2 linked regions of the Danio rerio genome follow. The protein of the gene in region 2 binds, or shares a complex with, the protein of the main gene of each other region. Links are inferred from orthologs where the notes say so. Each region holds a gene or a part of one and is shown on either strand. Other genes may lie near its edges.

Evidence for each region. Proteins that work in one complex are often made in the same cells at the same time.
Region 1: the proteins of orc3 (region 2) and orc5 are in contact, whole or in part, in a cryo-EM structure (PDB 7JPO), measured with the Homo sapiens proteins. The link is inferred for Danio rerio from reciprocal best matches to the Homo sapiens genes ORC3 and ORC5. Residues at the interface, in NP_036513.2 of Homo sapiens: Glu99, Val109, Met144, Lys145, Leu148, His178, Ser180, Met181, Asp182, Glu223, Asp232, Ile235, Ile236, Gln239, His240, Ala253, Thr254, Ser255, Pro256, Ile257, Ile258, Ile259, Arg261, His265, Ser269, Cys272, Ile273, Glu274, Leu275, Ser280; in NP_002544.1 of Homo sapiens: Asn62, Val64, Glu65, Phe67, Thr68, Arg70, Leu71, Gln75, Tyr129, Leu270, Arg271, Ser274, Ser275, Ser276, Gln277, Leu294, His297, Thr298, His299, Val300, Glu301, Leu302, Pro303, Tyr304, Tyr305, Ser306, Asp360, Tyr367, Arg373, Pro376.

Annotation. Positions count from the first base shown.
Region 1 is NC_133179.1:22,956,804-22,960,461, forward strand, and holds part of orc5 (origin recognition complex subunit 5), read right to left. Parts: coding exon 3,591-3,658; intron 3,032-3,590; coding exon 2,957-3,031; intron 2,774-2,956; coding exon 2,662-2,773; intron 2,325-2,661; coding exon 2,194-2,324; intron 1,996-2,193; coding exon 1,947-1,995; intron 175-1,946; coding exon 84-174; intron 1-83. UniProt on the Homo sapiens protein: Component of the origin recognition complex (ORC) that binds origins of replication. DNA-binding is ATP-dependent. The specific DNA sequences that define origins of replication have not been identified yet.
Region 2 is NC_133192.1:55,399,588-55,403,245, forward strand, and holds part of orc3 (origin recognition complex subunit 3), read right to left. Parts: intron 2,284-3,658; coding exon 2,135-2,283; intron 1,963-2,134; coding exon 1,844-1,962; intron 156-1,843; coding exon 1-155. UniProt on the Homo sapiens protein: Component of the origin recognition complex (ORC) that binds origins of replication. DNA-binding is ATP-dependent. The specific DNA sequences that define origins of replication have not been identified yet.

The DNA.
Region 1 (3,658 bases), on a different chromosome or scaffold from region 2:
AGCAGAAAACCCAAAAACACAAACATTCAGTGCCTGATGACACACAAACTCAACCTCAAACACCATACATGAACTGCACAGACCTGGACACCTCTCGGAGGTAAACTGTCTGCATGGCTCTATGCAGATGGGGCTCGATGTTCTTCCATAACTTGTGGATATCACTCTCTTTGGCTGAAAAAAACAAAAAATAAGATGATTACAAGATGATTATTGCCTACTTCGATAATGCTGTTGTTTTCAGTTTCTCGTGTTCTTTTGACTGTGAAACAAACAACGCCCTGGTTCAGTACTGACAATTTGTGGACAAATCTTGACTTATTTTAATGATATGCGTTTAGATTTGGTCAAGTGCAACATTTAGAAATATGTACCAGGTGCCATATTGCCATCGAGTATCAGTTTTTGATAAAAATGTGACTAGGGCTGCACGATTAATCCAAAAAAAAAAAAAAAAAAAAAAAAAGATTGTGATCTTGATTCAACCCCCTACAACACGATCTTAATCCAGCATTTTTAAGATTCAGCCAATTAACCGTGAACTACGCGTTTACCACTCTGCAGTTAAAGTGACACAGAAAGAGAGCATATCAATTAAACGATCATATCGCATTTTAGAGTTATGTTTACGACAAACATTTGATTTTTTTTTCATATCAAACACAGGGTGTTGTGCATGAGAAAAACATTTAACAGCAGCAGTATAACTACTAAAGGAATCTGGTAATTTTACCAAAAAAAATGTTGTCAATGACAGATTGCAAGCATATGTCTCAAACATAATAATTCAACTTCAGAATTATGAATACTTGTATTCTGATGTAATCACTTTATTACACATTAATAACCAGGAGAAATTTAAAGTTTATTCAAGTCCACAATACCAAGTCTGTACAAAAGTTTGCATTTTGACCAATAGTAGAGTTACACATACTGTAGGCTTAATATTATTAGTGTTGTTTTACTATATGTTTGAGAATAATAATAGCCTACTGATGTGAATCTTCATTTTACATCTACTGAATCATGAGAAAATTGTGATCTTCATTTTAAGCAAAGAAAAAAAATTGTCATTGTCATTCTAGCCAGAATCATGCAGCCATAATTGTGACAGACAAGTATTTTTTTGAAGCTTTGGTTGTTGAGTTAACATTGGGTTTGTACTATGCCAGCAGTGTTTAAACTCGGTCATAGAGGGTCGGTGTCCTGGAGAGTTTAGATCTAACCCTAATCAAACAAACCTGAAGCAGCTAATAAAGCTCTTACTAGATGTCCTAAAAACTTTCTGGCAGGGGTGTTGAAGCAAGTTGGAGCTAAACTCTGCAGGACTGAGTTTGGACACCCCTGAACTATGCCCTTAAATAAATAAAGTAAATAAGTCAAGAAAGTCAGAAAATAAATAAATATATTATTAAATGTACAGTTAAAGTCCAGAATTATTAGCCCCCCTTTGATTTTTTTCTTTTTTAAATATTTCCCAAATGATGTTTAACAAAGCAAGGGAATTTTCACAGTATGTCTGATAATATTTTCTCTTCTGGAGAAAGTCTTATTTGCTTTTTTCAGCTAGAATAAAATATTTTTTTCTTTTTTTAAAAAACAATTTTAAGGTCAAAATTATTAGCCCCTTTAAGCTATATATATTTTTTCGATAGTTTACAGAACCATCATTAGACAATTACTTACCTAATTACCTGCCTAGGTAACCCTTTAAAGTTAACTTTAAGCTGAATACTAGCATCTTGAAAAATTTCTGGTAAAATATCATTTACTGTCATCATGGCAAAGATAAAATAAATCAGTTATTAGAAATGAGTTATTAAAACTATTATGTTTATAAATGTGTGGAAAAAATCCTCTCAGAAATTAGGGAAAAAATAAACAGGGGTGCTAATAATTCAGGAGGTAATAATTCTGACTTCAACTGTATGCATAGCTGTGTTTACCTTCTCCTTTCTCCAAAGGTTCACAGAACTTGGAAAAGTTCAGCATAGCCTGTTTAAACAAAAATTAAGAGTGTATTTTAGAATATTAGGCAGTTTAGTAGAACTTGCTCAATTCTGTCCTTTATGAAGCAGTGAAAGATGCAAAAAAGAGAAAGTTTTACTCTCTACCTGCAACATCATAAAAACTGCTACACATCAACTGCTCCGTTTATAGACCTAGACAATTTAAAGGGATGGATGATCTCACCAGGTGCCTGAGCTCCCTTAGATCCCTGCACACCGAGAAGAAAACCCCCAGCAAGATGTTTATGTAGGAGGCGTAGAGCTCAGGTGTGTAGGATGGGTGATGATCCTTTGACAGAATCTGCACAAGCTCCACTGTGGAAACCAGAAAACAGAAGTTTTCAGAGTGTTTCAAACACCCATCCAAATATTAACAGTGTCCTTGTCCTTGTTTGCAACCTGTATTAAAACTCACCTCATTGTGATTATATTGAGAAAGCACAAACGGTTTTACAAAAGCCCTCAAATGCCCGTTCTAGTTTAATCCCATCACAAATTTGATGTTTCAAGTAGAAGGTTCTTAGTTACATAAAACATAAATTGACAAATCTGATCTTTAGTCATGTTTATAAAACACTTTTATTTTGTGGTACAATTACATAATATAGTAAAAACAAAGCTCTTTATTGCATAATCAAAATCTGCCACTCACCTTTACTGTAATCTGGGAAATGAAAAAGCAGAGGTTCAAAGCAGCCGGTGTTAGGACGAAACTTTTCCCACACTATTTCGCTGAGTAAGATAATGGTCACATTATCATTTACCTGCAACAGATAGAAAATGCATCAATGATGGGAAGTTATTATATTTCCACATGTACTCTATTCTAACAAAATTTGTGGCTCTTATTAAGCATTGGCCTCTTTATAAATGGATGAGATTGTAACCCTGTTATAGTAAAGCATTAGCAAAATTGAGTGTGTGTGTGTGTGTGTGTGTGTGTGTACCAGTTCCTGTAGGCGCAGAAGAGCAGGAAGCAGGCTGAAATCCATATCTCTTATGCGTTCAGCTCGGTCCAGAACCTACAGAGACATTTAATAACTTACAGTATATGTTATCTTTAACATCAATGGCATAAAACAAACAAAAGTGTGGAAAAAATAAGACACCTTTTAGGCGGTCAACATGTAATATTCTATATATTTTATTTAACCAAATGTTGGCGAAAATATGACTAAAAATGATCTAAAAATATTAATTATTTATACTCAACTGTTGTCTTTTTCTGCAAATAAATTATGCAAATGATAATAATATTATCATTTGAAATAAAAAAAAAACATGTTATCAGTAGTTTAAAAAATATATAATAAAAACACAAAACATCTATGAATGGCAAATCTAGATAACTGATAATATTTTTATTAATAATTACTGATAATATGCACACTGTGGCATGTATACTGCAATATATACATCTGCAATATTTTGATAATTATGTATATATATACATAATGTATACAGTATGTGTGTGTGTGTGTGTGTGTGTATTGCATAGCCCTAATAATAACACCAAAATACTGACAAATCTCCAAACATAAGCAAAACCATTGAATGTTAAATATTAGAATGAAAACTCACTATATAGCGTGTCTGTGTGGCAGGTGTGTTGGAGCTCATCTGTTTGTACAGGCGTACAAAATCTGACA
Region 2 (3,658 bases):
CAAAAACAGAGGCTAAATGCTGAGTGCAGGAGACAGACTGAAAGACCTCAATGCAGAGCAGAGATGACACAGAGTGGGGAAGCCTGTGCTGAATGGCACTGGGAGATGTGGCAATGCCGAAAACAAAGATGAACGGAAGCTCCTGGATATATCGGCTGTTAATGAAGCAAAGGGATAAAAGATTCTCAGATCATTAACATATACAATTTATTTTTATTCCATTTAAGACAAGGGTCACCAATCACGGCTCCCTGCAGAGTTTAGCTCCAACTTGTCTCAACACACATTTTAAGTATACCTACACTGTAAAAAAAAAAAAACTGTAATATTACAGTTTACGGTATAAAAAAACACGTAAAATAATGGATATTAAATTACAGAAATTTACAGTAAAATAATGAGTATTAAATTACAGAAATTTACAGTAAAATAATGAATATTAAATTACAGAATTTTACCGTTAAATAACGGATATTACAGAAATTTACCGTAAAATAATGGATATTAAATTACAGAAATTTACCGTAAAATAACAGATATTAAATTACAGAAATTTACCGTAAAATAACAGATATTAAATTACAGAAATTTACCGTAAAATAACGGATATTAAATTACAGAAATTTACCGTAAAATAACAGATATTAAATTACAGAAATTTACCGTAAAATAACAGATAATAAATTACGGAAATTTACCGTAAAATAACAAATATTAAATTACGGAAATTTACCGTAAAATAACAGATATTAAATTATGGAAATTTACAGTAAAATAACAGATAATAAATTACGGAAATTTACCGTAAAATGACAGATATTAAATTACAGAAATTTACTGTAAAATAACAGATATTAAATTACAGAAATTTACCGTAAAATAACAGATATTAAATTATAGAAATTTACCGTAAAATAACAGATATTAAATTATAGAAATTTACCATAAAATAACAGATATTCAATTACAGAAATTTACCGTAAAATAACAGATATTAAATTACAGAAATTTACTGTAAAATAACAGATATTAAATTACAGAAATTTACTGTAAAATAACAGATATTAAATTACAGAAATTTACTGTAAAATAACAGATATTAAATTACAGAAATTTACTGTAAAATAACAGATATTAAATTACAGAAATTTACTGTAAAATAACAGATATTCAATTATAGAAATTTACCGTAAAATAACAGATATTCAATTACAGAAATTTACTGTAAAATAACAGATATTAAATTACAGAAATTTACTGTAAAATAACAGATATTAAATTACAGAAATTTACTGTAAAATAACAGATATTAAATTACAGAAATTTACTGTAAAATAACAGATATTCAATTACAGAAATTTACTGTAAAATAACAGATATTAAATTATAGAAATTTACCGTAAAATAACAGATATTAAATTATAGAAATTTACTGTAAAATAACAGATATTCAATTACAGAAATTTACTGTAAAATAACAGATATTCAATTACAGAAATTTACTGTAAAATAACAGATATTAAATTACAGAAATTTACTGTAAAATAACAGATATTAAATTACAGAAATTTACCGTAAAATAACAGATATTAAATTACAGAAATTTACCGTAAAATAACAGATATTCAATTACAGAAATTTACTGTAAAATTACAGATATTAAATTACAGAAATTTACCGTAAAATAACAGATATTAAATTAAGGAAATTTACCGTAAAATAACAGATATTAAATTAAGGAAATTTACCGTAAAATAACAGATATTAAATTACAGAAATTTATCTGAATTGGGTCACATTTAACTGGCAGTGTAAACGGGGCCTTTGACTAGGCAAATCTCACCTGCAGATGTGGATAAAATCCTGTAAGACTTGTGAGTTGAACGCCTCAAAGTCTTTGAAGATCACAACAACAGGCAAACTCTGACGCAAGCCATTGTCATTTTTTTTCTGAGAGCATTTCTGCAAAAGACCAAGTGATAATGATTATTGACAGATGCTCAGCACACCGAAATAAACTAATCAAATGCACAACACACTCTCAATTACTTAACAGAAGCATTTAGACTACTCTATCAGACGTAAATACATGTTATTGCAGTTAAGCATAGTTTATTTTCTAGTCTTCTCTTACCTTGGTAGCAGTCTTATACCACTGACACAGAGCACTAATGGTACACTGAGCCTTTTGAGGCAAAGCTGCATCCTCCTCCTGTTCTTCATCCACTGACACTGCTTTTCCCATCAGCTGCTCTAGAACCTTCTGAATCAAGTGCTTCACAGCTGTTTACAAAAGCATCATGCATAAAGCGGCAAGATTAATATTAAATGTAGTAGAATAATTTCTTGTAAATGCAAATCCTCATTTTGAGCACTGCTAAGTGGATTCTAGAATGCTGCTGCACGTTTTCTCGATACAAATATTTGCATTTTTGCAGCACGTCTTTAAATTACATCAATACCTGGACAGTTTCACACATCACCGCTAGTTAATGCCACTCACTCAATCAGTGCAGTCATTATTTTGAATATTGGTAGTAGCAGCACCATGACTCACATACACATTACCATTTTCACGTTTGTTTGACAGCTTTACACTTACGTCCCATTCACACGGGGTGTCAGCATCAACGCTTCCCATTCACTTTTAATGCGTGACGACAGGCAGGGGCGCCTGCAGGATTTCATTCCAAGGTACGCACAAATCCAGCACCGCCCGCCCCCTTCCGATGGCTGTTCAGTATTCAAACATTAAATAACGAATGCATCAAGTAAAATAAAAACTAATATTTTTTATAATTTAGCAAAATTCTGCTCTTTTTATCTTTGCATTTTTATTATTTTATTTTTGTTAGCTTTAATATTTTATTGTCTTCATAATTAAAGCTATAGACAAAATCCTGCTTGACATTTTAGAAAATATTTTGCGTAGCTACCCAGTATGTATTAAAGATCACTGAGAAGAAAAAAAACACAGAAACATGTTACATGCCAACCTTAAATGTCCAAACTATATTTAACTGAATTGTAAGATTTTTTTTTTAATTGATCATTTTATTTTTATAAAACATTTTATTAATATATTTGAGTAAAAACTAAACCGACATTTAAGAATCCATATTTATTTTATTTATTCATTAATTTGACCTGTTTATTGGTGCATATATAGGCTATAATTTAACTTATACAACAGTACCTTGGACGGCTACAGTGCCACTAAAGCTTTCAAACACAACCCCAACAAAGTAATGAAAGATTAGACTTTCTCCGGTGACGGCCGACGTCTCAACATGCCGTAACCGTCCTTCGAGTGTTATAGCCAGCATTAAATCACAAAACAAGCCGTCTGGCTTGACTGAAGTGCAGTTATTTCCTTGATGTAGCATGCAAGTTTGCACACACAGATGATTGAATATTATTCAGATGATGTCATTACGTTGCTGTGCCGTCAGCCAATCGTTGCATTGCTGATCATGAGGATTGATAGATCTGTCCTTCCCAACACACGCAAAGATCTCAGATTGGCTTATCCAGACATTTCAATCTGATTCGCAAACTTGTTTGAAGAACCAAATTAGCCAGAGATCAGTAATCAAGATTAACAGATCCAGGATCTGCCAAATCATCTTAGATCAGGGGTGTCCAAACTCGGTCCTGG